3 linked regions of the Kluyveromyces lactis genome follow. The protein of the gene in region 3 purifies or fractionates together with the protein of the main gene of each other region. This does not show direct contact. Links are inferred from orthologs where the notes say so. Each region holds a gene or a part of one and is shown on either strand. Other genes may lie near its edges.

The links. Proteins that work in one complex are often made in the same cells at the same time.
Region 1: the proteins of PRP8 (region 3) and PRP3 purify together in Saccharomyces cerevisiae (affinity purification with mass spectrometry; 5 studies listed by BioGRID). This does not show direct contact. The link is inferred for Kluyveromyces lactis from reciprocal best matches to the Saccharomyces cerevisiae genes PRP8 and PRP3.
Region 2: the proteins of PRP8 (region 3) and SYF1 purify together in Saccharomyces cerevisiae (affinity purification with mass spectrometry; 5 studies listed by BioGRID). This does not show direct contact. The link is inferred for Kluyveromyces lactis from reciprocal best matches to the Saccharomyces cerevisiae genes PRP8 and SYF1.

What each region holds. Positions count from the first base shown.
Region 1 is NC_006041.1:823,120-833,679, reverse strand, and holds PRP3 (U4/U6-U5 snRNP complex subunit PRP3), read right to left. Parts: upstream 5,437-10,560; coding exon 4,162-5,436; downstream 1-4,161. Other genes in the region: DDL1 (putative carboxylic ester hydrolase), read left to right, coding at 1-1,493; protein-arginine N-methyltransferase SFM1, read left to right, coding at 1,736-2,374; MCO10 (Mco10p), read right to left, coding at 2,567-2,794; HSP10 (Hsp10p), read left to right, coding at 3,517-3,834; TMA17 (Tma17p), read left to right, coding at 6,163-6,645; RRT6 (Rrt6p), read left to right, coding at 7,374-8,147; exosome non-catalytic core subunit RRP42, read left to right, coding at 8,542-9,336; TRM3 (tRNA (guanosine(18)-2'-O)-methyltransferase), read right to left, coding at 9,392-10,560.
Region 2 is NC_006037.1:174,616-186,145, reverse strand, and holds SYF1 (mRNA splicing protein SYF1), read left to right. Parts: upstream 1-5,291; coding exon 5,292-7,688; downstream 7,689-11,530. Other genes in the region: RML2 (mitochondrial 54S ribosomal protein uL2m), read left to right, coding at 1,321-2,526; KLLA0_A02013g (putative aminopeptidase), read right to left, coding at 2,699-3,820; VMA8 (H(+)-transporting V1 sector ATPase subunit D), read right to left, coding at 4,042-4,872; AFG1 (Afg1p), read right to left, coding at 7,808-9,331; MAK10 (Mak10p), read left to right, coding at 10,169-11,530. UniProt on the Saccharomyces cerevisiae protein: Involved in pre-mRNA splicing and cell cycle control.
Region 3 is NC_006037.1:468,750-480,279, reverse strand, and holds PRP8 (U4/U6-U5 snRNP complex subunit PRP8), read right to left. Parts: upstream 11,151-11,530; coding exon 3,915-11,150; downstream 1-3,914. Other genes in the region: bifunctional ATP-dependent DNA helicase/ssDNA endodeoxyribonuclease DNA2, read right to left, coding at 1-1,943; KLLA0_A05302g (uncharacterized protein), read right to left, coding at 2,402-3,523. UniProt on the Saccharomyces cerevisiae protein: Functions as a scaffold that mediates the ordered assembly of spliceosomal proteins and snRNAs. Required for association of BRR2 with the spliceosomal U5 snRNP, and the subsequent assembly of the U4/U6-U5 tri-snRNP complex.

The DNA of each region.
Region 1 (10,560 bases), on a different chromosome or scaffold from region 3:
AAACCACTGAACTTCGTGATATTTTCCGATTACCAAAAGATTCGAAATGGAAATACGTTATGTTTTTTGAAGACGATAGGACCGCTTTTTTGTTGCCAGATATCTACGGTGGACATTTACAGCTTACTATCCTACGGAGCTCAGTGGCTCAACTGATTCAATTGGGTGCATCCAAGCTTACCAAGGGCTATGAGGAACCATCTTCTCTAACAGAAAGAGCGAAAGAGATCGAGGGTCAAGTTATCGAACATGCGATGGGGTTAGGTAAGATATCCGATATGATCTCTTGGGAATTTAGCGACCTTGTGAAGTTCCCAAACGAAGAAAATAACAGTAAACAAGAAGAAGATATGATGAAAGATGAAATGTCAAAGGATTATGACAATGGTGATTCAAGTGAAAAGAGTCATTACAGACCAACTAACCATCTCGTTCTCTGTGTTCATGGTATCGGTCAAAATTTGGGTAAGAAGTATCAGTACGTTAACTTTGCGCATACTGTAAACCTATTACGGAACAACATCAAGTACTTGTATAAATCGAATCCTTCCTTACAGGAGTTCAATTCCGCAAGAAAGTTCCCTGATTATAAAACCAATAGTGGAACACAAGTTCTTCCAATTACGTGGAGGCATGCAATAGGATTCAATACAGACGAGACTAATACGAATCGTGACAATGAGGATTTGCCAACATTAGCAGATTTGACGGTAGACGGCATTAGACCTTTAAGAAAGTTGTTGGGTGACGTTGGCTTGGACATTTTGCTATACGGTGATGATTTTTACCTAGATAGAATCCTAAAGCACGTCACAAATGAATTGAACGATGTATATGAGAAGTATCGTGAACACAATCCTGAATTCGATGGCAAAGTCAGTTTACTGGGTCACTCTCTCGGATCCGTCATCTTGTTTGATATTCTTTCTCAACAGTCTAAGTTTCCGTTGAATTTTGAAGTTGATAACTTCTTCGCTATTGGTTCGCCAATAGGTGTATTCAAACTTATACAAAGAACCAAAATTGGCGAATCTGATTCCTCTACAAGACAGCAAACTCCCGCATGCAACAACTTTTACAACCTATTTCATCCCTGTGATCCGATTTCCTATCGAGTTGAACCACTAATAGACAAAGTCACTGCTAATTATGAAGCAGAATGGATTCCGCATGCGACCGGGTACGACTTCATTGCTGACACCGTGAAGAATTTGATGTCAGATAAAAATCTAAAAGAGAAAGAACTCATGACCCAACGATTACTTTCGAATTTGTTGCGCTTTAACAGCAACGGGCGTGTTGACTATTCTTTCCAACCCAATTTATTAGACGTGGATGTCTGGAGTGCTATAAAATCTCATGTCAGTTATTTTGAAGACATGGATACTGCAGGATTTTTGCTGAAGGAAATATTGAAGAAACACGTTAAACCTAAAACTCATGAAATAACTAAATTAAAATCAACCAAAGTAGAGACAAAGAAGACAAAATAGAGCATTATAAAAAACATTGTATAAAATATGTATAGTCTTGTTGAGAACTAACACTAATGGCGAGCAGTTGATCTGTCGCTTTTTCATTTTCAGCGTAGCTCATAAATTTAAATGCACTGTTGCCAAATCGAAACAAAAATGGAAAATCAAATGCGATTTTATAGAACCTTCGACAGATTATTGCGATGAGCACAGCAGAAAGATCAAGAAGCTGACCCAATACAGGAGCAAGCAAATTAAGTATGAAGTACATTATTGAGCACATGGAGCAAGGATTCAGTGAGTGGGTTACTTTAGAGTATGCTCAAATCATTCGTGATATTGGCAAGGATAACTTAATTCTTTCGTCATTACCAGAAGATACCGTTGAGTCCGATATTCCAAAGAAGCTCAGGGAAATGGGATTGCAGTGGACCACTGCGAACCTTGATAAAATCAATGAAGCGTTCCCAGAATTACCAGAGCTAAAATCTCAAAGAGTCTGTCTATTAGATCCAAGGGCAAAGACCGATTTGATTCCATCCGATGCTCAAAATTATGATTATTTCGTCTTCGGAGGTATTCTTGGAGATCATCCACCAAGAGACCGTACCAGAGAACTTATGGAGCAATACCCAAACTTACTCGTCGGAAAAAGACTAGGGGACAAACAAATGACTACAGACACGGCCATCAGAACCACCCAAATCATCATTGAGAAACAAACTAAATTTGAAGACGTTAAGTTCATCGATTACCCAGAATTCAGATTCAATAAGAACGAAGCTACCGAAATGCCATTCAGATATGTATTCAACTCTGATGGCCAGCCGATTCTACCGGAAGGGATGCTCCAATTAATCAAAAAAGATTCCGAGCAAAGTCTAGACGATCTATTCTGAGATAAACACAAATCAATGTAATAACTTTTAAGTATCCTATAATTATCAGATTACATGTACATATGTATATGAAAAAAAGGGAAACTGTTTTAATACTGAGACTGTGTAGGAGGTCGTGTTTCATTTTGAATATCGTTAAAAAATCGTCATCTATAGAAGGGGGGTAGTTCAAATACCTGATCTTTATTGAATTTATTTGGATTCTTCCTTCAAGAAATCACCCAACAACTTTTCAACGTCAAATTCGTCGGAACCACCAGCAGCTGGAGCAGCTGGAGTAGCAACAGCTGGCTTGGCCTTTTCAGCATCCTTAGAACCAGACATGGCGTAAGCTGCACCACCGAAAACAGAGCCCAAGGTAGCTATGGCTAAAATATGTGGTTGAACAGTCATACCGAAAATCTTGTAAGCAGCACCCATTATTAATATGTATGAAATTGTAGTGTTTGGTACAGTTTTTATGATTGAAATGGAATCAGCCCTAACCGGTGTTGAAGGGTTAAAAAAATTCACATAAACCAAGTATAACACTTGCTAACCTTGGAACGAAATCCTTTAATTCTTAAAAGCTCATTCGAGGAAGGTCAGTGTCTTTATGCGAAAAGAGTGAAATTCTGCGACATCTTCTGTGTGATCCCTTCGAATTTCACCTCGAAAACTTGGGCCAAAAGACGTTCGGAGTGATTAAATTTCATGAAAAAAAATTGTAAGTCACGTGGACAACATTTTATTTTCCTTTCCTCCCTTACTGCCCCCTTCCGGCAACATAAGGCCCTATGAATTGTGACTTCAACATGCTGTGAACCACCATTGTTTAAGCTCTATATATTGTTTTGACAACTCCAAAGCGGCGCCCACTACCAGCTAGTCATTTAGCCCGCATCATTGCCATGTTCAGTAGTTTGTAGTTTACTGTCCACATGGAATTTTCTAGCATCACCGAAAACGGGAACCTTTCTGACATGAAAGTTGAAATTTATAAAAGGCTATAAAGCTTACACACTTTACAAAATGAAGGATTCGACATTTTTTCAACAATAGAGTGCCAAGATTATATCAAAGTCAGCGTTTGTACAAGATCCTTGATCCTCCTCGATTGATATTCTTCCCCTAAGAAGTAATCACTATAATAATAGGTCAAAATGTCCACTCTATTGAAGTCTGCTAAATCTATTGTTCCATTGTTGGACCGTGTTCTGGTGCAAAGAATCAAGGCCGAAGCCAAGACTGCTTCTGGTTTATACTTGCCAGAAAAGAACGTTGAGAAATTAAACCAAGCTACTGTGTTGGCTGCTGGTCCAGGTTTCACCGATTCCAACGGTAACAAGATTACACCATCTGTCCAACCAGGTGACCAAGTTTTGATCCCACAATTCGGTGGATCCACAATCAAGTTGGGCAAGGATGATGAAGTCGTTTTATTCAGAGACTCTGAAATCTTGGCCAAGGTCGTCGAATAAAGGTCTCGAACGTTACACCAGAATTAAATTTAAAGAACGATGTTATGAGCCAGTATCTTTCTCTGTTATTGATGATTGAATTTTGAGAGACGAAGGGAGATATTATTTATATAAATATGACTTTTTTTTGATGTTGGTAGTGATAAAACTCAATAATGTTGACCATTGTGCGTCACTTGGACTGCCTACTCACCCCATGTAAATAAATGTTCTAAGTAGGTCGTTGGATTTACTCCGGTTTTATTTTTTTTAACATACACTATTACTTTTATTCCAAAATTTTGATGATTTCGAACTTGGATTTCATTTTCAGTACGTAATTGTTTGTTAAAACTTACCTAATGGTACAAAAGTCAATGCATCGTGCTGCTCTAAGATATTATTTAACTGGTTTTTATCTTTACAATCGAGCATGAACCAGCCCTTGAATCTACAATCACCAATTAATCCTTGCCAAACCTTTGTAATTTTACCGTCGCAAGGTACTGTCTCTTCGGTATCTCTATCTTTGTATGGTTCCGACCAATTGATTCGCTTTGTCACCAACTTATCGAAAAAGCGGATAGATTTTTCATCTCCAAAAGCTACAATTATACCTTTGCCATTTTGAATGTGTAGACAGCATCCTTTCAACTTCAATTGCTTACCGTTGGTTTTGATTTTGTATCTGATACTAGGATTCTGTATTTCGTCAAACATGTAAACAACACACGTGTATTCTAGAGGACTATCATTGCTGTGTGCTTGTAACTGGGATTCCTTCCTTCGTTTCAGGCTTTCTTGATGCCTTATTTCATTTTCTTCGAAATGTTTCCTTTTCCTCTCTGCCACTTGTCTCCGTACGATGGATTCCCATTGAGTTGGATCCGCAATATTGGCATCATTCTCATACACATTCATCATATTCGATAATTTAACCTTGGGCTCTGGTTTTGGTTCTATACCAAGCTTGATTTTCTCCTCCTTCTCCTGTCGTACCAACTTCCTCGTATTCCTTCTGGCCTTTTTCCGTTCGTTTTTCGTTAAGAAAATCTCTGCCACTGGAACAGCTGCCCTAGGCCTTTCAATCGGTACCGGATGTTGAATATACCTAATACTTGGGAATTTATCTTGTGCACCTTCCTCTTCCTCTTCCTCTTCATCATCACTTTCATCGTCCGAATTCAATGTGGAATAATCCAAACTATATTTCTCATGGATGCTACCATCTTTGATATATGGAACATCCCACCATTCCACATCAGGAACGTCCGATAAATCGGTAAAATAAACTTCTTCATGCTTATCAGGTAGTTCCCCTATTTCTATTTTCCGTTCGATTTCCTGCTGTTTCTCCAGTTCAGCTTCCCATCGTATTCTTTCTTCTTCAGACTTTTCACGGTTCTCTTGTCTTAATTTTGCAGCATGCTGGACAACCTCTCCCGGTTCATACCAATGAGACGATACTCTTGCCTTTGGCTCAAAACCATGAGCCTGTACGTCTTGCAAGTATGGGTTTCCACAACGTCTACCTTGAAATCTCAATAAATTGACATTCTCAACACTCAATGCAGAATGCAATTTCCGATTTAACCCTCTATTAGTATTATTATCATTGCCCATTATATGATGATATGATTTTTGTACAAAGGGCCGATTATTCCAGACAATCCGTAGTTACTATTACACATCACCATTTGTCTTTTGTCCATCTCTTCTCTAGCATCGCAATGAACTCTCTCTCATATAGAATCTGAATCACATCTTCACTCTGTAACGCCTATGATGAAATTCACCATGCCCGGGTAATATATCCGAAATTGCACCAACCCCTGATTGTGCGTAGTGTATGGGTGGAAGCCAAAACAGCACAATTTTTCTGTTTTATGGGATGAAAAGAATTACATAAGCGGCCCCTAATTCTCGTTGTTTTTGTGTTCCTCGTGAGTTTCTCAACTCTTTGCTGAAAGGGACAAAGTTCAGTTCCCAGAGAAGGACTTAGGCGGGGAAATCCAGCCCAGGAGAAAGGAAAGCAGAAAAGCTGATGTGATTTTTAACAAGTAGTGTTGCTTTGGAGCTGGAAAAAGTCAGCATAGTAACGTGCGCATCATACACTCTGATTTGCAATGATGGTGCCTCGGAGGGGTGGGTGTCATATGTGGGGCGTGATATCTTACCGTTGGGTATAAATAGTAAGAGAATAAACTCTGGCTTAAATTATTGTTATAAAAGGCTAGCTTGAATATATAGTTAAGGATACCGATCTTAATTCATCTCGTACTTTCCAACCGAAACAAGACTAAAAAGTGAAAAAACATACATAGCTAAGGATAGACTTAACATAGAAATATGGCACATTCTTCTGGTATTCGTAGACCAATTCAGATTCAAGAGTTCGTGATTGCTATTAGAGAATCGTCTGAGCATGAATTACAAGAGATCAGAAAAGAGATCAATAATGCAGTGAAGCATTTACAAAGATCTAACAGAAGGTTAGAAGCGTACGTTGCCAAGCTTAAGGGTGAAGAGGTATTGAACAGACAAGAATTGGACGCGGAAGGGAATTTTTCCGATGATGATATTGATGAGAAGGATTTGCAAGTATTCCAAGACTCATTAGCGGAAAATGGAAAAGTATTGGATAATTATAACGAAAGGCTACAAGCTTTGGACCTAGAAGAACAGCACAGGGCTAGCACTGTATCTTCCGGTGACATCCAATCGGCGTCCACAAAATTAAAAAGATCTTTGCAATCTCAAGGCCGGAGAACCGTTGGCGTGGATTCAGATAATACTGCTGATGCCACTGGTTCCAATAGCATTAACTTATGAACCCATTCCAAACAAAATATATATAATGTACTCATATATTGAAGTATAGTAAAAAAAAAATGAATGAAAGCAAAAATGCATGTTTAAAAGTGTGGGCTGGTATGACCTCGGAAAACTGTATACTTTCAGAGATGAATAAACGCACCCGTTCTGGTTTCTTTCTCTTAGTTTCGGGCTGGTAATCTGCTGGGAAAAACCCTGGAATGAATCTGCTACAGACCATTCTTAACATTTAGCTTTTTCTGTTTCCAGCAGGCTGGGCCGTTCTCTGTGGCATTCATTTTCTTCCATCTGTAAACGTCGATGCGAAAAAAGTCTATCAGGTTCACGTTAACATTTCATTTCATTTTGATATGATCGACATATATACTGTGCCATGGCATGAAAATGTTAAGAACACTTTTGGAGAAAAACATACAGAGAGTCGTTTTGACAGCAATTATTCGGTTGGAAAAGTGGGAACTGCCTGGGTTAATGATTGGTCTCCATCTATAAAGCATCAGGTTCAATTCAAATCGAAACAATTCTTTTTTTCCCTTTAAGGTTGTTTCTCAGTGCTTCATACGTGTTGTCAATATCTTTTTGTGTTCTTATTCGGCCAGACAAAATTTTTTTTTTGGGTCTAATCCACAGCTTTCGCTTCAGTAATTAGATTGTGGTCTTTTCGTTTGTTATTATACCCAGTTCATTTCGTTCCAGCTAGTAATTTTTTTGTTCTTTTTGTTTAAATGGTGATATCGTTGATATATGTCCTTTTACTGATATGTTCAGTTGTCTCGGAGACCCTTAAACTGCCGATAAACCCAAATCGATTAGAATTCGATTTGTGGCCATATAAAAAATGGGAAGTTGACGGCTCGAGTGACGCGTCTAGTTATCAAACTTGTTTCGAAATGAATACGAATATTAAGGCCAAGGATTTACAATTCCTCATTGAAATTGAAGAATTTACTAAATGGAAAGTTAATGTGGATAGGTTTGGTCCAACTACGAGTTCAAAGGGAAAACAGGTTGTCAACATGGATATTTATGACGAAGACCAAAATTTGGTACAGTCAAGACATGGTTTAGAGAATGGGGAAACTGTGCTTTACGTGAGCGTATACGAACATCAGAATTTCCAAATATGCCTTATCAACTTTTCATTAGACTCCTCATGGAATGCCATAGATAGTGTGAAGCAAGTAGCAATTAGCATCACGTCTAATGATCTGATTCAGAAACAGAAGTGGGATTTGATTACTGATGATGATCTCAATTTGTTATCCCAGGGTAGAGATGACCTGTTTTCGTTGGTCAGTGCGGATTCTGGCCAGGAATTGCATGCTTTAGATGTCGATCATAGAAATCTCAACGAATCAACGTTCTCTTATCTACTGGCAAAAGTCACAATATTATTCTGCATCATTGGAGTATGTCATTTGCTGGTATTTCCAATCTTACTGTATAGAATCGTTAGCAAAGGGCAACCGACCAAGAACAAAAATAAAATCAAAAGATAAGGAATAATTATGTCCATAAAACAGTTGATGTATTTGTATATATATTAAACATCAGCACCCTGTATCAGTACAACTTCAATATCAGTCAGTCAGCATTCATCGTATGTTAGTACTTCGAACCGTGACTGACACCTGACAGAACATCTCACTAATGGCCAATTATATCCGGGTAACACCGAATATTAATGTGCATTAGCGAAAAGAAGAAATGAAAAATCTGAACTAATTTCAGTATTGACTTATATGAGCTTGAGATGAGATGCAATGAGATGATGAGAAAAGGCTTATTTCCCTTCTATCAACAGCAATAGAAACATCTGAGTTTAAAGCGAGTTATCTTCTCACGAAGCAGACCCATCTCGTTAAAAAAAAAATCAAATAATATAAGAAGATAATGGGACTTTCGTTAACTGAAAAATCGTTCCTATACGATTCTCTAACATTAGATCCCCCATTAAGACCGGATGGAAGAGGTCCACATCAATTTAGACCATTGGAAGTATCTACTGATTTCCTTCCCAATTCTAATGGATCCAGCCGTGTGATATTAAGCGGAGGAAGCGAGTGTATAGTGAGTGTAAAAACTAAAGTCGTGGACCATACGGTAGAACAAGAATTGCTTGTTGCTGATGTCGACATCCAAGGCCACAGAGATGACTCTCCATTGGTTACCAGCATGTCTTCACTATTATCCAAATTGCTCAAACAAACTATTGATCAGAAAAAGCTAATGCTCACGAAAAGGTACAGTTTCAAACTTTACATTGACGTTTTGGTGCTTGCCTCCAAATCATACCCGATCTCAATGATATCTTTCGCCATTTTCAGCGCTTTGAAAAACACATGGCTACCGAAACTAATATCGAACGACGATGACTTAGAAGTGGAGGAGCTACCCACATTCCATGATTACGATATGGTTAAGCTAGAGGCAGATGCTCCTTTATTGTTTACGTTCGCAATTGTAGGAGACGGTGTTTTTGTGGATCCAACTTTTGAAGAGAGCATAGTATCGAACAATGGCCTTCTAATTACGTGGTACAAAGATAAGGTTACTTCTCCGATAAGATCTGTTGGCTTGAATAACGATAATATCAAAGGGTTCAGTCAGCATCATTTAGAACAAGCGTTCAAGTTAATTCGTCAATACGCACCACATATTGAAAAAGCTTTGGATGCTTCAGATTAAGGAACATTTAAATAGTAAATAGGTACTTTTCAGGGTGTTTATTATAAATGCATATCTATAAATGCTGGATCGAGTACGAATGAACGATAACAGCTGTTGCAGTTTGGATATTCATGGATCTTATTACCCCAGATTGTTTGATTTCTAAGCATAAATCCAACTCCTTTAACAAATGCCCTGGAATACCATGAGCTTCTGTTCCTAGTAAAATGACAGATTTTGATGGAAATTTAAATTCAGAATTCAGTTGAATGGAAGAATCAGTCTGCTCCAATCCAATTAACGTATATCCTTCCAACTTCTTTGCATTCATGTAAGATATTATACCATCGACAGGAACTTCTTCAATAGGCATCCAGCGGTCCGCTGTAACCGCAACATTTTTGAATTGAGGATGCTGTTTGACTCTAATATCATGAATTGTCATAGTACCGACACCCAACACGTCACAGAGTCTACAAATACCTCCGAGATTGGGTGCTTTATCCACTAATGAAGCTACGACAATTAATTCAGATCGTGCAACAGACTCAATGGATTTTTGATTATCGAAATCCAAGACAGCTTCCCAAGCACCACTCTTCGTTTGTAGGGGCGAGTTTTTTGCTAACTCAGTTGAATTTACTAGATTACTACTTCTTTTGGTCAACCATAGTTCACTCTCTTCCGATCCTATTTCAAATTCACCGTCATCGATGTTAATGGCTTTGAATATCTTACTATTTATATATGGAACTTTATGATCCATAATTTTCAATAATACGCCGCCAAATATACTTGTTAACTTAAGGTCGTTATTGATGCTCCAAGTGTTTGCGTCACCGGCTCTGAATTGACCTTGTACTTGGATCTTCTTAGCATCGCTGTATAGCTTAGAAATAATGGATCGCAAAATATTATCTTTGATGTCATCTTCAAAGGTTGGCCAAAACAAAAGAATGAGGGAATTAGAGAAATGTCTAATTAATGGTTTGTTTGAGGAGCAATTAGTTATCAGTTGTGCGACAAATCTTTCCATTGGCCTGAAAAAATGACCTGTCTCCTTCGCTGCCTTCAAAGATAAGAATAACAAACGTTCAACACTTGCTTGTAAAACAGGACGAGAGGTGTCTTCTAAAAGTTTGAACAGAAAGTCCTCATTTGGATTTTTATGATTATCTGTCGCTGTAACCCATAGGTCATATGCAATGAACCATTCTGAATAAACTCTTACTAACGGAGACG
Region 2 (11,530 bases), about 290 kb from region 3:
AGAAAGGCCCTGTGTGTATCGCTAACGGTTTAGATTTGTGGTTCACTGTCTCAGAGCTCTGTATAATCTAGGATCCTACGTTTTTAGTCCTAAGATAACACTTTTATTTCTATTGACATCTTTTCAAGACGTGTTTACAATTCAGATACCGGCACCAAAAATAAAAAAACACACACTACCGAAAAGCACAAGTTACAAGTACAAGAATGGAACAGCTAATGCTATATATAAACGTATTCAGGACTGTTAGAGATAACAAAAAGCGTGTTTCTAATCCTTTAAAATTTTGAATTTTATTCATGATTAGCATGGAAACTTTTAGTTCATCATTAATAGGTCTATATATTTAAGATAGAGAATGCCGAGTAATCCACTGACACATCTAACGTACACTTCGACTACCCGAATATATCCGGAAATGAAGAAAGTCAAACAAACAAGAAGATATAACTTGTACTGTATTGCCTGGACAGTTTATTTTAATAAAGTAATCGATTGATCAGAATTTTCAGTGTTTGGCTAATGCTAGTCGAATCGTTCATATTTTCGAAATCCGTTTGGGGCGACAGCGGTCATCATAATCGATATACTCAAAAAAAAAACAATCCAAATGATGGTATTTCCATACAGACAGTCATTATCTTCGTCGTTCCTTTTACTTGTTCATTTCCCGACATGAAGAGGAATTTGATTTCCGTTTGAGTTCAGTAAAAAAGACAGAATACGTTGCGAACAGGAACTCCTGTTCCTGATACACTACAAATCGAATCCTTGTTGGTTATGTCTCTAACTCTAATTAAAAGCTTTGTAACGGATAATAAAGTATTCGTGATGAGATAGAAACTTACCTCAAAATTTTTCACTTTTCCAGTTATTTAAACTAAAAACCATAAAACAGAAAGAATAGTCAATCTAACCATGAGAGACTGGTCTGCCATTAGGGCACAAAATAAGTACACAAAGATTTCCTGAATCACGTGACCAAATATTATATAATCCGGGTAAATTCAGAATACGTTCATAGTGATACTTCTTGCAAAAAATTCCATTTGACGATATTCCTCTGATGGTATTGAAGCTGTTTGAAATTAGAGATCGCTTGAAAGATTTTGATATTAACAAAAATGAACAATGTAATTGCAATGACTTAAACATTTTAAACTATGGATATTGATATATATAAGGGTGGATATATCTATAACAAATCTTATTAAGATCAGAGTTATTTTATTATTTCTGTGAAGGGCAGTAGCAAAGCGGAGATATTGGTATTAGACGGTTTACCCTAAGAATCTCGTTAGGTGCTCTGGATATAATATCATGTTCAAGCAATTCAACTTGAGATGCCTGACGCCGCTTGCCAGCGGCGTCTCCTCAAGAGTTCAAGTTCCGTGGAATGTTTCGATGATAATGTCTTTGAACAATACTTCACTTGGTGGAATCAGATCTATGGCCAGCATCACTCCAACCGGGAATGAAGAACAATCTTCAGTTGACGATGTCAATGTCCATATGTTGAAAATCGTTCCTAATAACACAGATGTGGTAGCACTAGAGAAGCAAGACGAATTGTTAAGAAGAAGAAGAAAGTTGGCTAAGGAAGTTACACAAATGAAGAAATTGAAACCGGTTTCTCCAGGTTTGAGATGGTACCGTGCGCCAATTTATCCATATTTGCATAAGGGAAGACCTGTTAAATCTTTGACTCTTGCCAAGAGAGGAAATGGTGGTAGAAACCATAGTGGTAAGATCACGGTGAGACATCGTGGTGGTGGTCATAAAAGAAGATTGAGAACAGTCGATTTCAGTCGTTTCGAATCTGGTATGCAAACTGTGGAAAGAATCGAATACGATCCTGGTAGAAGTGCACATATTGCATTGATAAAACATAACGATACTGGTGCCCTAAGCTACATTTTAGCATGTGATGGGCTAAGAGCTGGGGATACCATCGAATCATACAGAAAAGGTATTCCACCATCATTTTTGAAAGAAATGGGTGGGAAGATCGATCCTGCCATCTTATCTGTTAGAACAGCTCAAAGAGGTAACTGTCTACCAATCTCTATGATCCCAATCGGATCCATCGTTCATAATATTGGTATCACTCCTACAGGTCCAGGTAAGTTCTGTCGTGCTGCTGGTTCTTACGCACGTATCTTATCCAAGATCCCAGAAAAGAATAAAGCTGTTGTCCGTCTACAAAGTGGTGAGCACCGTTACGTATCATTGGAAGCTGCAGCTACCATGGGTGTTGTCTCAAATATTGACCATCAAAACCGTTCTCTAGGTAAAGCTGGTAGATCTAGATGGTTGGGTATAAGACCAACTGTCAGAGGTGTGGCAATGAACAAATGTGACCATCCTCACGGTGGTGGTAGAGGTAAATCTAAGTCCAAAAAGTTGTCCATGTCTCCATGGGGTCAATTGGCCAAGGGTTACAAGACAAGAAGGGGTAAGCATCAAAACAAAATGAAGGTTAAAGATAGACCAAGAGGTAAGGCTGGTAGAAAGGCTAGACAATGATAAGCTTCCCCACAACTGATCCTATCTTAAATATCATCAGTTTTTGTAAACTTATTTCAATGACTTCCATCCTGTAAATATCGTAGAACTAGTTAATTTAAAGAAATAACATAACATCTGTTCAGTTACCAACTCTATTTTAAACAAAGTTTAGATTACTACATCCAGAGCATCATTTGGTCTCTTCTTCCAGCTTAAATTCCCAGTTCCCAAGTTCGAATAAGGAACCAACGACTAACCTTACATGCTGGGCCATGTGATCAAATGAAAGTCTGTCTAAAGTGTCCATCGTACTGTGAATGTATTTGTTAGATTTGTTGAACTCACTTTCAATGACAAAGGAAGCGGGGAATCCATTCTTCGTTGCACTTCCGTGATCACTACATGCATATCCACATTCCGTTTCCACGTAAGGAATATCCAAGAATCTTCTTATAATCAACTTAATAAATTCAGTTAGACCTGGCGTGGTATAATCAGTAATGACACCAACATGCTCATTTTCTGGATCTTCAACATATCCGGTCATATCTTGTTGCAACATTGCGACGACTTTTTTGTTCTCCTCTGCATACCTGGTGAAGACATCCAAAGAACCTAGTAAACCACCTTCTTCTGCACTATAGAAATGGAACTCAATGGTGTTATTGGGTCTGTAACCTGTTGTAGAGAGATGTTCAACGTATAATCTCAATGCCTCTAGATTGGTTACGGTACCAGATCCATCGTCATCAGCTCCTGGCGCAGCAAGTATCGATGGCAATAAAAGGTTCATAGAGTCCTGATGCGATCCCATTACGACAATGTTCTCGGGAGTTTGTGCTCCTTTAATCGATACGATGATGGAGAATTGCTTCCAACCTTTATGCTGAACATGTTCAATGACAACGTCATTGTTCAATGGACTAGTGATGTTAGATAATTTCTCGGAGAGCCAAACAGCAGATTCGTACCCCGTGTCAGATTTGTAATAGCGAGTGTAGAAACTTGTGAATTTTGCCAAATTATCATGCATTGAAACCTTATCAACTCCCTTGGACAACGAATTTACAATTTCGTCGCATTGAGTTTCCTTCGGATAACGGTACACTGGCACAACAGCCTTTTCATCTTTGGACTTAAGTAATTTGGGAAAATTGGTAATATCCATGAATTGCACTCCTTTCCTCTTGAGAGACCATTTCTCGGTCTCTCGTACCATAATAGTCTTACCTTCCTCGATCTCAAGAACATGTAAACTATCAAATGGCAAAGCTGCCACAGAAGCTGCCAACAAGAACCACCCAAACTTCATAACTAGCCAATCTGATATTTGCTACGGAGTTGAAGCAAAGTATACACCGGTAGATGCTTGTACTGTCCCTTTTAATACAGTATTTATCCACTTGTTTCTGAAGGGAAAAAGGGTTTTTTTGACATCTAAGTAGAACTAACGTTGTTTAGAAGTTTAGTGTACATATTATGGAAAATGATATTCATTGATATACAATAATGGAGAAAGGGAGAAACCAAAGATCAAAAGATGACATCTTCCTCTTGTTCGGTAATCAGAGCTTCTACTTGTGGGCCAGATTGTTCTTCTTGTTCTTGTGTGTCGGCAGCTTCTACGCCAGTTTTGGTCGCTTCTTGAGAATCTGGTTTACCTTCAGACTCAGCATTTGCTTCATCTAATTTCTTCTGCTTCATTTCAGCATCCAACTGAGCAGTTTGAATCTGTTTCTTTTCTTGCACTTTCTTCAATCTATAAAACTCTTCTCTATCCAATTCGTCTAGCTCGGAGTTGATATAAGCAATGGTGTTTTCCGTTCTTGGAATGATCACATGTTCAATGGCATTCACTCTACGGTTGGTAACTTTGATAACTTCGTCCAAGATAATGAAAGCCGTTTGTAACGAAGCCAATTCAACTAGTGTTTCAACAGCCCTTGAGTAAATTTCCTTAGCACGCTGAACTTGTTGACCACCACGACCTAGACCTGTCATTTTGAAGTCGTTGATGTTGGAGTCGATGAATGATTCAAATTGAGGCAAGTACACACCACTCACGTTTTCTTGCGTGGCCCTAACTTTGAATCTTGCATTGGCAACATTCTCTTGAACTTGGTACCCTATATTTTCACCTGTAGCATATGTGACCTCCGCCAAAGAGAACGCAGCTGTTTGCATCACTCTGCCCATCTTCTGCTTTGAATCATCTATTCTTTTAGTGATATCACGGAATCTCTTCGTTAATGCTTCAGACTTTCTCTTCAACAAAGAATAACCCTGATTAGCACCCTTTAACTTAGTCTTCATAAGACCCAAGGTCATACGAGTGGGGAAAACCTGTTCCCTATTACTAGACATTTTTCGATAAAATTCAAGATGCTAGGAGTGAAGTCGTTCCTTCCTTGCTGTAATATGTTATCAGTACGCTTAGTACCAAACTCACCTGATTGGTACAGTAGAAAAACAGTTCTTTTCAAAGAAAAAGCAAACGATTACAAGTAAATGTGTTCCAGGTTGGATACTTGTCAGTGCCAGCCTAATTGCAACGTTCTGCCCCAGCTGATATATGCCCCCCTTTTCTACCTTTCTTTCGTCAAATGATTGAATGTCTTATATTTCAGATATTTTGAAAATTGGTTAATTTCGAAATTTAGATATTATTTCATTTACGGTGATATGTCAAAACGTTTAATGAGATGAGTTACAATTAAAGCTCCATCTAAGGTAAAGTTAGTGCACTGTTTTTCCACCAGGTACTGCGAGAGACATATGTTTCGATGGAAATAGATAAATTTGTCAAGGAGGAAGATATTCCGTTTGAGTATGGTGTTGTTAGAGAAAGAGACAATGCTGTATCATGGTCGAGATATTTGGCAACTAAAAGATCAGCAGGCGATGAGTTGAATTTAGATTGGCTATACGAACGTTGTTTGAAGGAGATCAAGGACGACTGGCATCTATGGAAAGAGTTCTTGAAATGGAGGATAGAATTATTGAACGATTGTGATATTTTCAGGCACAAAGATGAATACAATAAGATATCGTTACTATTCGAACAGTGCTTAACATCATGTGGCAAAGTTGGGGATGCATGGATTATGTATATGGAATGGGTAATACAGTTTAAGGATTTGAAGAGGATTAGAGAACTGCTTGGAAAAGCGCTACGATCAATGTCGTGGGAGTACCATGAAGCAATATGGCGTGTTGTCATCGATTTCATTATCAATGAATTGTTAATAGACAACAAGAGGTATGAACTTTCTTTAGAGGATTCCATCTACTATTTTGTTCACGGAGAGCATTCGACGAATTTTGATACAGACCTCTGGTCTTCCTCAATCCTACAGAGATATTCACTTATTTGTGACGACATAGAGCCTTTATTGATCTACATTTTTAAGACTCATGATTGGAGCACGATCGTTCGAGTATTTGAAAAACATCTATCACCTAATTTAAAGCCATCTCAGACAAGTTTATTTGAACTTTACGTTAGTTACATCACTTCAATGATTCTTGTGGATAATTCAGCAGGGGTTGCTGCGGTAGTGGACCAATGTATCGAATTATTCCCTTTCAAGAAGGGTGAACTTAAGACATATTTGATATTTAACCTGATACGTCAAGGAAAAATAACGGAAGCTGAGCTGTACTTAGAGAAAGTTATAAGCGAAACTAAAGACATTATCGAATTTTCTGTATTATATGATTTTTGGATTCGTATGGAGGAGCTATTGACCCAAGAATTAATTCAAAAGATGAAAGACGATAATTCAGAAAAGCAACGGCTGTTCGCAAATATAAGACTACATGCCGACACTCTAACCTCATTAATAAAAAACCACACTATTAGATTAAACGACTTAGAATTGAGGCGAGAACCCAACAACATCAAATTGTGGCTAGAACGAGTGAAGCTTTTTGATACCATCTCTGATAAAGCTAAAGTTTATGCAGATGCTGTTCTTACCGTGGACTATAGACTTCAGACTACTCCAGGGCTATTAGGAGAATTATGGTGTCAATATTGCAGACTTTTTGAAGAGGATATTGAAAAATCCGAGGTCTTGCTGGACAAAGCCACTAACGTCCCTTTCAAATTTTTAGTAGATCTTGAAAATGTTTGGTTATATTGGTGTGAATACAGACTAAAAAGAAGCATTGACGATGCCATAAAAGTTTTGTCCGTTGTATTAGAAATACCAGATAATCATGAATTACTCCTACAAAAATTTGAGAAAGGAGAATCGCCAGCACAAGCAGCAATTTTCTCATCTAAACGCTTATGGGCAATGTACCTTGACTTATTGGAGGTCAAAGGAAACTATGGTACAGCTGTAAATGCGTATGAAACAGCAATACTCATCAAGGCAGCAACACCAGCCATGTTTATTAATTATGCGTTATTAAATGAATCTTCTGGCCATCAAGCAGAAGCTTTGGCTGTTTTCGAAAGGAGTGTTGAGATTTTTCCTCCAAGCGTATCGAAGTCTATTTGGGATATATATCTGGATGTGGCACTCAAAGCTGATATCACTAAAGAGCAAAAAAGAGATATTTTTGAATCTGCTATTAAGCTTGCAGCTTCAGGAGTGGCATGTGTTTCGTTCTTTGAAAAGTACAGCGACTTTGAGTTAAACCTTGGTTTCCACGAGAGAAGTGTCGAGATTTTGCACAAAGGAGCCAAGAATATTTCGGATCTTGAAAGTAAATGTACTTTATGGGAAGAATGCATCAATAGAAGTGAAAAACAATTGGACGTCAATCACACCAGAAAACTATATGAAGAATGTATAGAAACATTGCCCAATTCTAAAGCAATCAAGTTTCTACTTCCATTTGCTATCTTAGAAGAATCGCGTAATGAGGTTGCTCGTTGTAGAGCATTGTTAGACTACGGGAGCAAATTACTGAAGCCCGCACAGAATGAAGAACTTTGGGATTTCTGGAGGAATTTCGAAACTATGCACGGTACAAAAGACTCGTTCAAGAACATGCTAAAAGCACGTAGGTTCCTAGAGGACACAATGAAAGTAAATACAGAGGAAGTATCCAGACATGCAGATAGCATCGAATTTAGGGCGTCAACTGCGAAAATTAGTGGAAGCGGACCACCAAGCGCAGAAGATAAAGGATACTCAAATACGGCTGAAATTGATTTAGGTCTATAAAATGGATATATATTGATTAAAGTTGATAATGGCATATCGATCAATCTCTTATGTTTTGTTTTGGAAGATGTCGTATTGTCTTTCTTTGATGACGTGTAACATACAAAAACACTAGTATCTTACTGTTTTTCGACCCAATCAGTTGAACTCATGTGGGATAATCTACTTAGGGCTCTTGCAAATGCAAACCGTTCTTCATCTAATGCGAAAATCTGTGCTTTTTTGGCAATATCCTTAGAAAATCCGTGTTTACTGACCAATTCATCCTCTACTTCAGGTTCATCTTCATGTTTCATTTGATCTGCTGGTTTAAGCTCATAGTCGTTGACAATATCTTCTGGTTCCACGAATAGTGAGGTGAAGTCATCTGCACCAGTGGTAGCTAATTTACCACCGTTATCGTAAACTGCATCCAAGAATGTAATGAACCGTCTAACTTCGTCACGTACGTATATGGTTAAGTATGGCAAATCTGTGACAACAAAGGACTTGAATGAGTTAGCCAAAGTTAAATAGTCACCAGCAGCCAAAGGTTCTCCACATAATTGTTTAAAGGTGAATTGTGCTACTCTCCCAGGTGTACATTTAGGAACGAGTAATTGTCTACCCCAGATAGTCAATGGATAGTTATATACAATGTCATGGCCATTTTCTGACTTACTGGGACGATGCAGTTGGGCAAAATAACTATACCATTGCTGTACGTGTAATTTCCTCGCCAATTCACACTCTTTTGAAAAATAGGATAAATTATGACTTGGATAGTAATAAACAGATGAAATTGGTCTTGGAATCTTACGATAATCGGTAGGAGAATCCAACAATACCACTTCGGTTCTTTCCTTTATCAGTTCAATACATGGAACAAACGATTCTCTTTGAACACCATTGATGTAAAGATCATCTGGCTTTCTGTTACTCGTTGCAAAGAGTACAACACCGTACTCTTTGGAAAGCAATGTAGTAATTAACCTCCGTAAAATCATGGCATCTGCCACGTCCGTCACTTGAAACTCGTCGAAACAAAGCACTCTAGAAGTGTTTGCAATCTCTGCCGCTAGAAATGGGATTGGGTCGATATCTCTTCCCTTAGCTTCACCCAAAGCATCGAAATTTTGTTCGGATATAATGTCATGAGATCTTTTATGCACATACTGCATGAACTGATGGAAATGTATACGTTTCTTTGACAAAGCTGGAGGAACTGTCAAATAGAACAACTCCATCAACATCGTCTTTCCACATCCTACATCACCGTATAAATATATACCCTTAGGAACACCCTCCGTCGAATACTTCTCTTTCCTTGCAAATAATTTCCCAAGAAACCCTGTTTTCCAGCCGACTTGATCTAGCACGCTTGGTGGTTGTACTGGTTCCGGATTGTACGAAACCAAAGAGTCGTGCAAATGACCTAAGGATTTGATGATACTCCGCTGATACGGATCATCTCTTAATTTTCCGAGCTTTACCAACTCGTCATATTTCGACAACGGTGTTTCCGTAACATCCGCAGATTGAGAAACCCACCGCTGTGCCAATACTTGTTGGAAAAGTCCAAAGGTATACCCTGGTCTTTCAACAAGACCGCTGCCAACTCTACTGACAAGAACCTTCTTACAACCCTGTGAAAATATCAGCATCGCTTGTCCTTGTACATGACCTTTTCCCAATTGCAATAGATTGTATCTACCTTAATTAACGATAGAGTAACTAGTGTATTATTTATGGACAAATAGTAATTCGGAAGTGCAGCTCTAATACAAAACGTTTCCAATTGCTAAGAAGTGAATATCTAACATTCACCATGGCCTTTACTTAAATACTTGTTAGTGGGGCATCGGTTTGAAGTGATAGTTTCTCAATGTCCCCCACTCTGAGGCCGCTTTAATTTTTTTTCTCCGATTTCGGGTTCTTATTCTACAGTAGAAACATGCTGCTGATCTCTATCTATTAAAGGTCTTCCTCCCCACCCCTCCCTGTCGCTATCTGAATACCCTGAATTCGACTTGTAAAGCTATGACTGACAGCTTTGTTTGCTTTGGTTGGTGAAAACTAGAGATCATCAATTGTTCGAGAATGACTGTTAGCATGCATGTCGATATTTACCAATAGATACTCCGCTCTTGCGTACATAATAACGTAACGAACATACGTTTTTAAGAAACAGTGTGGGGTACCAGACTTGCAAGTGCCTCTAGCAACTGGGAATAGTTTGTACAATGCATGGCTCTCACAGTACCTTGACTTTTCTTAGGTCCGATACTTTTGTTTTATGTTGTGTAGAGTTTATTACCTCTTTTCTACTAAATGTTTAAATCCTAATTTAACTTGTGAGATAGCTTAAGGCTTCCACACGATATCATGAATTAGAGAGATTAGAACAGAATATACAGTTGCGGTAGCACTAGACATTGCAAGATTTTAGGGTTTGATATCTTGGGGCAACTAAATTTGTTTCCCAGCATTCCTGATTATTGATGGTGGTTGAGAATAACATTGCAGAGTTGGCGAATTTAACGCTAGATCATCGAATGGATCCTAAAAACGAAGCCCAGTTTATAGACATCACAGATCATTTAAAGGCCCTAGCAGCGAAGTTGGCACCAGAGACAGTGGTCAAAGAAGCTACGTTCAATCTGTTCGAAGGGACTTATGCATTGGAAGTATGCAACGTGAAATTAGATACAAGCCTTATTGAGTTATGCCCTGAAGAGTTGGAATTCGACTGCAATGTACCATACGGGGACTCAAATAATGGAGAAAGGCTTGATTATGTCACTGCGGTTTGTGATCGATTATGTCGCTCTTTGATGAATTGGCTTCATGATTACCAAACTCTACCCACTACGGTGCTAAGTTGTCGATACGTCGAATTTCTTATGGAATTATACACTTCGAACCCGGTTTCATCGTTACAATCGTTCCAAGGATTACGCACGCGCGACCCCTTGTATGATCAAGTCTTGTGCAGCTTTGTGATAGGTGTTTGTTCATTCATAAAGTTCACTTCCAAAGTTTTGAAAGATGGTGGTGTTTACGAGGAGGAAGACTTGAACTGTAACGTTATGAGTTTGGATATGCTCTCTGGCGTGGACACAAAAGAAGTAATAGATTTATTGAACTCTTCGTTGCAACTGTTAGTTCAGTCATACTCAGAATCTACGCATCTACAAAAACTTGTTGATTTAGTCAAACATTTGTTGCACTTACCCAATTATCATTATCCCTCATGTCAGTCTTCGGTTTCTTCAGACTTACTACCTTTGCAAAAATCACTAGATATTATTTCTTCATTGGTACAAGACGATTATACTACTAAGCAGCATTCATACCCTCCTGGTTGTTTTTCCAAGGGCATTCAAAAGAGGCGTGATAATAACTTCCCACCAAAGGATCTCTTTGAACCTAAGGGAGACGAATATGTCTCTTATACTGAATTCATGAGAGATATCATAGCGGCATTATCGGTAAAAGATTGCAATACAGCGTTCGAAATCAGACAATATGTTTGGTTTTTCAACCGAATTAGACAAAGGACAGTCATGGCTCGTGCGTTACTGCAATCATATTTAATTAGAGAAGACACCATCTTAGACAAGTTTCGGTTTAACACGTTCAAGGATATGCACCTTTACGAGTTCTCATTAGCAGGAACAGCATTGTACGATGTAATATCCAGCCGCGAGCAAACAACAGATCGCGATAATATGATAGAAGCCTTGAATGAACTCTCATATTGCCTCCTTCGTTGGTATCAAAATATGCCACAAAATTCATGTAGGCATCGGCAAGGATTTAATAGACTATTACTCGACTGGGACTCCGTTCAAGCGCAATTT
Region 3 (11,530 bases):
TGTGCATTAGATTTCCATTTCCCTGTCTTTATCTCCACGGGAGCTAACAACTTTTTACCGTCTGAATCAACATTCGTCTCAACAGTGACATCTATATATCCTTTCAATCCATACTTTGATGACCAAATGTTCTCTTCAATATCAACGATCTGAGAAACAGATAATTTACGTTTATTTTTTGTTCCAATTACTTGAATCCAGGACCTTGAATTGTCCTTAGTGACATAAATGTTCACAAATTCTATGATAAAAGGTAAATGCTCATCTGAAATCGTTTTAATCACTGATTCGACAGATTCTCCACACATATTCACCTCCGTAGTGAATGGTTTTATGACTTTGTCCAGAATTTCGAGAGCTAAGCCTTTTGAGAGAAACTGATTCGGCTCCAACAGCTTCAATTTTAACACTTCCTGGACCAACGCGTGAATAATGTTACCTAAGACAGCTGCAAGCGAGTATTCACCGGGTTCATTAAATTTTGAAGATAAAACGGCACGCCTTTCGCAATCCATGGCAGTCCCAATTGCAGTGGCAGAAAGAAGAACATCCGGATACACGATCAATAAATTATCATTTTCGAGGCCTGTTTTAGGGTCTTTGTCATTTGAAAGAAGCCGTTTATTAGGAAAGTGGTCACCTTCTATTAGGTGAATAATCATTCCTTGCTCGTATCTGAAACGAATCCATGGATCTCTGAGAATTAGGTTAACTTTTCCAGCATCCTGATTGAAGCATGTGAGAATTATTTGCGCTGGTGATTTCATTTCCTTGATTTCAAAAATACATAGTCTTTGACAGCCGCGTTGAGGGAATGGGAATTTAGCCAAGTTAACATACCTTTCAACCACATCGGCTTTGTTATTAAGCAGATGATCGGTTTGATTTTCATTTGATTTTACAGAGTCTTCCACATTTTCATCCTCTGATTCAAGCATAACTTCAATGCGTTCAATTTTTCTCACTTGAAGTTGAGGGAGTGTAGCTGGCTTTTCCTCATCAAGAAGTTCTAATAAGGAAGCATCTGATTCCTCTGATTCTTCATTGCATTCTGTGATGACTGGCTTTGTGAATCTTTGTGTGAGAATATCAATTAACGAATCGTCCTCATCCTCGTCGTCATCTATATTGATCTGAGGAGGATACATTGTGAACGTGCGTTCTATGCCATTAGTTGTAGTATGCTTATGATTTGAAATACTCTCTGATGCCAGCTCCGGAAGATTTTCTACAGGGTCATCGTCTATAACAACTGGTTCCGAGCAAATTGGTGAAGAAGGCGGAAGCAACTTAGGACCTTCTAAGTCGTTTAAAATTTCGTGTATATCTCTCATAGGTGTGACATCCTTTTCTCCTCTTTTTACAGGAGATCCTTGTGCAATTTTCCTGCATTCTTTATCAATGCTGTTGGGATCCATGTTCTCAAAATCAATCACATCTTTAAACTTATCGTTGATCAATGGAGTAGAAGATTGACCTAGAGGCATATCTTGACTTAATTCATCGGAGTTATTATCGTCGTTTCCAGTATTATAATGGTTACATAATTGCTCATCAATTTTCCTAGGAGAGTATCTCCATATTACTTCTTCCGACGGACCATCGCTATACCTCGTTTCTGGCACAGCTTCAGTCGATTTTTCCCTTCTAGTCTTTGTGCTATTGATAATTCTTTTAGATGCAAGCTTTGTTTTGCCACTAGTTTTCGCATTGACAGTATCTTTGACGGAACTTCCAGCTTCCACATTTCGTACTCTTGAGATCGGTATCGATTTCAAAATTGGTTCTTCACTGCTAAGCCGGTTCAGGGGGGCAAAATGGTAAGATTTACTTGGTTTCTTTTTAGGTTTCCCTTTATAATCCACTGAAATAGCATCCGTATCCTTCTTAAATGGCGATATAGAAACACTGGCGGTACGTTTTTTCTTTGGGGTAGAAACCATCGTGTTTCCAGTAAAGAATTCAAAGCCTTATTGCTATTGAGTTTGTACAACAGTATGCTTCTTTTTCTGCTTCTTGAATCCCCACCATTTGGGTTACCACCAATTCACTAATCCTAAAGTTGACTGATTGGCAGTTGGGCTTTTCTCTCTTCGCGTTTGAAGATATTCAAATAGTTCTTCTTATTCGCGATATATTTATGTGTATTGTTTTAATATTTACGTTTTTTAGAGATCAACATTTTCTGATTCCAAACCAAAACATTGCGCATGGCAAAAGGCAATCGCAGGGCTAGGGTACGACTTACATTGGATGTATAGAACCGACACTTTGGTCCTCTCACAAATATTGATGCATTTTCGTGCATTCCTTTATAAATTATATTGTTTGATAAACGTCATGATAATGAACGGAAACGGTGAGTTGATACGTCAGAATTTTACGTACGAACGCGTTAGTATTAAGTATTAGGTTGAGTTCTTTTCGTTAAATTGAGGGATTGATACGGGGTAAAGTGATCTGGTGTAGACTTCTTTAATTTAATGACACTGTCCTGTATGATTGTGGATGGTTCTACTAGGCCGTTACTAGCTTGATTGAGATTGAGTTGATAAGTTTTAGAGTTCGCCATACTGATATGTTGATCCGGACTTTGTAGACGTTTCGGCAGTTCGTTTTCATCATTGACTATATGTTCGTCGTGGTTGCTTTTATCCATAAAAGAATCTCCCAATTCGATGAAATCATCGTTCATTCCTGGAGCGAACTCATCTCGTAACCCAATTGTGGAATAGAAACTTTCAATATCTGAAATCAGTAAATCTTTCTTCTTTTTGAGAGACGCTTCCAGTTCTTTGCTAAACTTCGGTACTCTTTTGTTTGCTGCAGCCTTTAGCTTCAGTAAATTTAGCCTCGTCTTCATGAGTATACGGGATGTCTGCTCATATAATGCCATTCCAAGCTTTTCTTCATTCATTTCTGATGCAATTGAATCGATTGCCGTTAGTTCCCGTTCCTCTGGCAGTGCGAACGACCTATTTTTAGTATTAGAAACATTTGGTGCAGAGGTACTTTGATTAAATTCTGTGGCTTCGGTTTCATTTTGTGATAGCTTTGGTGTCTCTTGCTTTTCAATAGAATTTTGGAAAGCAGTTGGCTTTGTAAGTAAATTCTCTTTAACTGCTATTTTCACATCATTCTCTTCATTTGACGATATGTCACCAGAGTCAATATTAACGGGTAGTCTAAGGGCATTATACATTTTTGATAGAAAGTTGTAATTTGATTTGGAGCCTTTTTGTACTTTGTCAAACGAGTAACCTAATCTCGTTAGTTCCATAATGTACTTAGCTGCGTTCATTTCATGACCAGACATTGGGAGAAATTTAGAAGATTTATCAGAGTTAGATGTTTGATTCGCGTTAGTAGAAGTTGCAGCTATCATATGATCCGTTTTTTTAGGACCTGCTGCGTTGGGCCTGTTATATTTCGGTCCAGAGTTACCTGGTTTAAATCTCAATGGATTCTTTCTTTGTGGTCGTGTTGCTGCAGAGACATTTCTCTTGGTAGTTGTTCGCGCCATTATTATTTCACGGCTTCCTTTATTGAAAGTAACTAGTTTCTTCCAATATGCACCAATAATCACTTTGGTTAAACTGTTTGTTTAACCGTCTCCATCGGAGAGTCGATGTGCAATATCTTCAAGGGACGAAGTTCCTTGTCTACTTTTTAAATATTCAGTATTACCTCTCAGAGAGAAGTCACGTGAAAGTTTGGAAGTCAGATGGAACAAGCACATTATGACTACTTCACTTTTATGATAATATGAAAATCGTAGAGCCTAAAACGCCATTCCAAACCGTCTTATACGGTTGATGTAAGGGCAAATGCAGGTCAGATGCCTAATATAAATGTAAAATGGTTTTAAAAAAATATATAACAATTATAGAGAAATTATCTGTATTCTCCTTCGCTTAAGCGAATAGATTTTCTTGATCCGGTTCTAATTCCTCATCTCCAGCAAGTTCAGAGAATTGTATGAAGTGAGGAGCACGATGGAGTTCATTATAGAACTCTAGTGGGATGTCTAATTTCAATTCGTAAGGTAGATCTTCGCTAAAAGCAGTTCCCATGAAAGCGTAATTCCATATCGATGACGAAGGTACCAAGAAATTGCCCATAATGCGTTCAGATAATAAAATCTGTGCAGTCTCGCTAAATGAAGCTTCAAACCCTTCTGGTGAAGGGTCCGTTATGTCTTTCGATTGTAAGCCCCAGTTGAAACCCGTAGTGCTTAACGTATATCCTGTAATTGATACGGCACCTGGGATTAGATTTATGCACAAATCAACAGCACTTTCGTTATGATCTGAAAACATTTTGGAATGAGTGATCACTTCAGATGGTGACATGAATTTGGAATCGACTTTTTGGGTATGTATCCATCCCAACAGTTCCATGTCGTTGAGATATTTGGAAGATGAGGGGGGAGGAGATATGCGAACAGTTGCGGAACTGCCGAGTTGAGGGACAAGTGCTATCGTCTTAATTTCCTTCACATTAGGGTGATCTTTTACAGGTGACCCGTACATATACCCTGCAATTTGGACATCGACATCAGCTATTGTGACAAACTTCTTCAACAAGTTCCGTGGGAATACGAGGACATCTTTATCTTCTACAAAATCTTCGGCAGTAACATATATGTTCTTAAGCTTCAAATGTAGCAATGAATTGGAGATTGCATTTGACCGCCAAGCATTTTTCGAACTGAAAGATTGGGACTCATAATTGCTGGATGACACCACTGTAATTTCTTCACCTTGAGCATTGATTGTTTTTAGCTTCATGGCTGCCGTGGCAGACTGCGACGACTCATCAGTTTTCTGATTTCTTGCAGCCTCCAATTCTGCCATCTTCTGCCTCTGAACAGATGGAGCTCTAATGTTCTGTCCTAAAATCAAATTCTTGATTTCAGTTTGAGTCAAAGAAGCAATGTTTACATTGTATTTTTGACCATACTCTAAGAGAATTAGATCACGCATCTTCGTCTCAATTTCAATCCACTGATCATCAGTAAAAGAAGGCCATAGATGATTAGCTCTCGTTGGGATTGTAGGATCCTCTAATAGAATCATTTTGGCTTTTTCTTCATTGGTTTTGAGCGCTCTTAATAGCAATATCAATCTAGAGAAAGCAGTGTAGGCAGAAACTCGAGTTAGCCAGTCATCATAAATGTTGAACAAAACCATCTGCGGTTCTGTAGCGCTTAAAACAACATCATTTAATTTTTCTATGTTCAAAACAGAAGAAAAAGGTAATCTGAGCTCAGTTGGACGAATCGAAATGTTTGGGAAATCTAACATGTGTACTTCCATAGGGTCCATCATAGCTTTTCTAGTAACTATAATTTGTTTAGGTTGTTCTTCTTTGGGTAACGATCTAACCAATGCACTTACTTCTTCTGCGGTTTTCCATTTTGCCAATTGAGCCAATCTGCTCTGCCCCGCCCACACCGAAGTGTGAATTATTTTCAAATATAGTTCACCTGTTTTCGGATTTAAAGTAAACACGCATCCGTTGATAGGCTTAGTAGCCACATTGCCTTCATAAGTTCTATGAACAGTGACCCGGTAAACATTCGTATCATCGATAAAGAATTTTGTGTCATTGGAAAATAGCTCTGCGTAGTTGGATGAGTTCAAAAATGGCTCTTGAACTTGAGATTGATATATCTGAAGACCTTTCCTGATACGCTCCCTCAAAACGTAAAGTGCTGGATTAGCTTTCATTATTGTTTTCATACCGTTGTGTATCAAGGGCTTCAATCCCTCAAACCACGTTCCATAGGAGTCGTAAATATTATAGGCCAAGTCAATACCGATCATAATACCAGTAGGAGACGGGTACAAGCTCACGTTATCTGTGGTGTAATCTAAAAATTTCGCACGGACATATCTTGATATATCATGAGAATCATAGTCACCATATCTAAGCTGCACATCGATCCACATTTTGTCAGTTGTGGTAGCGTCGAAAGAATCTTTCGTCTGATGCAACAATGTTGGTCTGCTAACCTTCCATTTGTAAATACTGTTCAATGTGATGTCAGCAGCAGACGAATTCATCTTATACGACTTACGTGGATGAATTGATTCTTTTTGAACAGATTCAATCTGTAGTATATCCATTTGGCCGTCCAGAATTTGACAGATGTCGAAAACCACACTTTCGTGGATTTTTTGCCATAGATGTGCTCGGAAAATTTGAATTAAAGATATCTTCAATGTTGGAATTTTACCGTGCAAGAATATTCCTGTTAAATCCAATTGCACCAAAAACCCAACGTAGACGTTCGCTCTATTAATCGTCGGAGACCACCATAACGTAAACCTACGATTAGGGATCTGACTCAAACCAGTTCTTTGTGCATGAGTAAGTTTCTTGAACTGCATTGAATCTTCAAAACCAGAGGCTTTCTCCCAGAAAAGTCCTTCCCATGATTTAAAGCCAGTTCCTTTAAATAATGTGTGCTCAAGAATTGTTTCGATACCCCCTAAGGCCTGAATGACATCCGTACGATAGGCATTCAAGTTCCATAATTTACCATCATGACGATTATTTGTCCACCAGAAAGCATTACTACGTTCCACTGAATACTCTTTGAATTGTCGCCTAATCCTGTGACCCTTATCATAGGCTAGCGTATGCCTATCTTTTTGGAATATGGTACTGATCCGCGGTATACCTCTATCCCAAGAACCCTCTAATTCTTCAAATGCCAACCTACGATTTTGTTTTATGGCTTCTTGTCTTTTAGCAGCATAATCCGCCCATACTCTCTGTGAGTCCAAAAATTCGTTCTCCCAGGTAGTAATGTATCGGAAAATTGTTGGTATCATCTTCTCATCTTCGTGGGACATCCCTGCCCTGAAATGTGTTATTCCAGTATCTGTGTGTTTTGACCACCTCAAGTCAGAAGCGGGAATTAAAATGTGCGATGCGCTGAGCATTCCCAAACCACCTAACTCTTTAGGTGTATAAAACACTGCTGGAGGGAACCTTGTTGGCATTTTAGAATTTAAGCCGAGTTTTACTCTATTTTGAACTCTAGTCTCAGATTTCACGAGTAAGTCGAGTAACGGTTCTGTCGTGACGATAGATTCTCTAAAATAGGTAAACAAAGCGATTAGTGCAGTATTCCATTTGCCCACAATTTTTGTAAAAGTTGTGGAGCCGGAACCCATCAAAATACTTTGAATACGACCTCTAAACTCATCAATAGCTTCTTGTGATACCTGTAAAAACGCTTTGGCAGTCCGTTCTTTTGTGGAGTCCAACACCAAATCCCATACACCCTCATCATGAGAAATGACATCTTCCATCCGAGATTTCGGTAGTATTCTCACCTCAAAACCGCACATAGTGAAAAGTAAATTAGGATTATTCTTGCTATAAACTGAAGAAAGAGTATTCTCCCACGTTATGTTAACAAGTGATTTTGGTACCCTAGATGTAAGTTCCCAGAAAACAGCACGACCTAGATTAACATCGTGTCTGATTAACCTCATGCGGGCGTCTCTAGGCCAGCATTTCTTGTTGTTATAACCAACAGAATTTTCAAAATTTGGATCGGGGTTTTCCATCAAATAGTCTTGGATAAGCTCATCAGACTCAGATTCTTCAAAGTGGAATAAAATATGGATTTTGTCAAGATAGCGTGAGTAGAGGCGAATTGGGCTCTTCGTTTCAGTAGCTTTATCTGGAAATTGCAAGAATTCAGATGGTTCGTTTGGAGGGCCTGCTAGTTCCTGTGCCCTTTCATGTCCCAAGATGAGAATATCAATCATTAAACCATAAAATTGATAAACAAATGGTGCAAATTGTAATCCCCTTATTAGACCATATTTGTTAACATGATTCATATCCTTAAAGATCAAACTGACATTATTCTTTGCAGTAATGTAATCCGCTAATGTCGGATCGATAATTAACCTTAGGAGCCTGTTTATTAGTGTCAAATCCATCTTTTCAACGAATTCTTGTAAATCAGTTTGCAACAATACGGTCGATTGCCCTTTGCTGATGTCCCATACAGAATCTAAGTTGTTAATGCCTTGACACCATTTGTAAACAAGAAGTGGCGGGATTTCTGAGTCACCTGGCTTTATCCAACTAGGGAAAAGCTGCCTTCTGTCAGCTTCATACCATAGATACTGGTCAAGATATGCATCGGTAATTTTCTCCAACGGATCAACGTTATAGACTGGAGATATGTGTTGATAATGATCCATCATTGTTAGTTGTATTGGCTTGAATAATCTTTGGGTTAGCAATAGTTTTTTAATTCTATTCAAGGTATCATGAGGATTGTCATATGCCTCTTCAATTAAAGCTAACTCTTCACGTTCCTGGGCATTTAGCCTGACTTTTGAAACGTATTGCTCTTTTAAATTCTCAAGTGCCAAAACCAAAATCTTCGTATCGTTTTTATAAGTCAAAGGAGGGAACGGGATAGGTGAGAAGTTCCTGGCATCAAGCCAATCTACCATTGCCGAGAACACTGCACTTGCTTCTGCTGGGGTTACTTCGGGACCTGCTTTCTCAATTTCCTTTTGCCTTTCCTGCTCATGTTTTATCCAAAGTCTAGTTAATCTGCCTAAATTTTTCTTCAATACAATTTTTTCGACATGGGCACCACTTTTGATTCTATCACGATTATAGTGAGCTTGAGATGTCCAACCGTCAGCTTTTGCTTTCACATATCTTTCTATAATGTTTTTTATTGGCTCGGGCATTCCTGGAACTTCCCAGGGAACATTGGCTTTCCAGCATCTCCAAGCCTCAGATAAGTGCTGTAAAATTGTCCTTGCCTTGCTCTGCTTTATTCCATCGGGAATCATGTCCAAAATGTCATTCATAACAGATGCTCGTAGTTCTAAGTCATAGTAAGCATCGAGTCTTTGTTTAGTAGTAGTTTTAACAACATCAGTTGATCTTCCCTCAAACTGACGAGTGAGTAAATTTCCTAGCCACCTTTCTAGAATCGGTATTATGCCTCGAAGGAAGAATATCCAAACTCTCCATGCAGGCTGCCAGAAACCACATCCTGGACCTTTCCCGATAATTTTATTGAATCTATAATACACGACATGTTTTAGATCTTTACATGTACGAATTTGATGCATGACTTTGTACTTGTACCTATAGATACCTGTGAGTTGTCCTGTGTGGTTCAAAATATAGTACAATCCATCAGCAAGCTGAAACGCATCGACATTTCCCATCCTATATTGAACATGAGAATCTACCAACAACTTTATTATTTTTAAAATTTCTCTTATTAAATGGAAAGCATTCCCAAATCTTGCCTTCTTTCTCTCCTTCGTTGTAAGGGTTTTAGTTGGCTTTAAATTGAAATTGTAATCAAGATGTAAGTACGTAAGGCCTTTTTTGTGAATCAAGAGATTGAGCATACTGTGACCTTGTTTGCAGACTTGTAAGCCGGCCTCAACCCAATCTATCGTTGTTTCTTGGAAGAATTTAGTATTTGCTAGACTTTGTAACAACTTAACTTTCTTTTTTGAAGTGTGGTCATCGGTATGGAGTTCATTTGCTACAATATTCTTCAATAGTCTTTGGTGGGAACTCTTTACTTTGTTAGGATATCTTTCATCAGGATGTTCTTGGTACCACCTTTTTATTAGAGCGACATCCTGAGCTCTGGTGGTTTTACCCGATCTTTTGTTGTATGGATATGGTGCATGATATAATGACATTGCTTCATTAGTAGTGGGAAAAAATAGTTCTTGTGTTTCCATTAAAGGTCTGACATCCATTGGAATCCTAAAAGAGTTATCTCTGGTGTTTTCTGCAGTTGTGTGGAAATGGGGCAGGGAATGCGAAATAGTTGGGTTGAGAGACTGTCCGAAAAAAAAGGTAGCAGATGAGTGCTCCATTTCAGATTTAACGGTACACGAGAGCGGATCATGGTACCACAATGTTTCAACAGATCTTGGTCGAGCTGCATATATTTGAGGGAAAGCGATCTGGTACTCTGTTCGTATAGGTATGCGGAAAATTACTCTATCTATTGAATTGAATTCGTTATAATCTTCCTCTTCTTCGTTTGGATATAGAGGCTCAAATTTGGGGCCACCTGGAAGACTGTTATTTAGCGCTTTGGAAGTAAAGAAAGCCTTTTGCTCAAACAAGTATTTTGCGTTTTTATCGGAATTCGACTCTTCAATGAGTGGTTTTGCCAATCTGTATAAGCTGCACATGACTCCATTGTCAAGTTTCCAACGTTTGTATGAGCTTCCGTTGACTGCTTTCGCATTATCCTCTAGGGGACGTGTATCATAAATCCAGTCTTTTACGCCATCATGAGCATAATTATCCAAGTCTAAAGTTATGGCTTCTGAAGGTTCTAGATTCTCAATGGTATCAGAGTATGTCAAGGGAGGTTCATCGTCGTCAAAAGGAGGGAATCTCATTCTTTTAAAATGCTTTCTATCTCTCTTTTCTCTTCTCATTGCGATCCACATCGTTGACCATTGCGCAGTGTAAACTGGTTCTATCACTCTAGGAATCTCATTTACAAATGTTATAGCACCTGATACATGATATAAAACTTTGACAGCTTTTACTTGTTCCCAAGGTTGCGGCATATTCTCCAAAAGTTTCAATATAGCATGGGGTAAATATCTTAGTGCATTCAAATGTGCTCTCTTATCGGAGTTGAATCTTGATGAAGTCATATCCATGTGATCATTTAATATTTTCCTGAGATGTTCCGGTGGCATTTCTACCTTATGTGAATGAACTAAGCCCGATTTTTTCTGAGCTACTCTTTTCTTCCCTTTCCTGATCTTTTTTGTATCCCTCGAAAGACCGTTATAGTGCTGATCGTCATTCTGTGCTTCGTCTATCATAGATGTTGAAGATGACGATGGAGGTGGTGGTGGTGGAGGTGGTAAGTTATTCTTCGCTTTATCAGAAAGAATATCTATACCTGGCTGAATTCCAGGAGGCGGGGGCGGTGGTGGTCCCAGATCTACCCTGGAAAAACCAGGTGGTGGAGGTGGTGGCGCACCTACTGGACTTCTATGCTTCTCCATCTCGTTACCTTTAGATTTGTGATTCTTTGAAGTTATATCATAACTGGGAAATCCCGGAGGCGGTGGCGGCGGTGGGGGTAAGCCGCTCATGGCAATGTGTACTTCTGTTCTTTCCCTAAGGTACAAATGTATTGGTCGGTTCGAATGTCACAGATAGATCTTAACTTTGCTAAATAATACTGTCTTATGTATGCATAGTAAATATGTTGATATGATTTAGCTCATCACAATTTTAAATGTTGATAATATGTTACCCGGATATGATAGTATCCTTTAGTGTGGTCAAAGGCATAAGGCAAAGTATGTAAGCATGGATAGATCAAGCTTATCTGGTAACTGGTGCTTACCATTTGTGAAAATCTAGCAGGTTTATTGTTATTGATAGAGTGCTTGTTCCTCTTCTAAAACCACTAAGTTAAAAGTTAATTAAAATCTGATGAAGTTAACAATAAGGTTTGAATTTTGGGTAT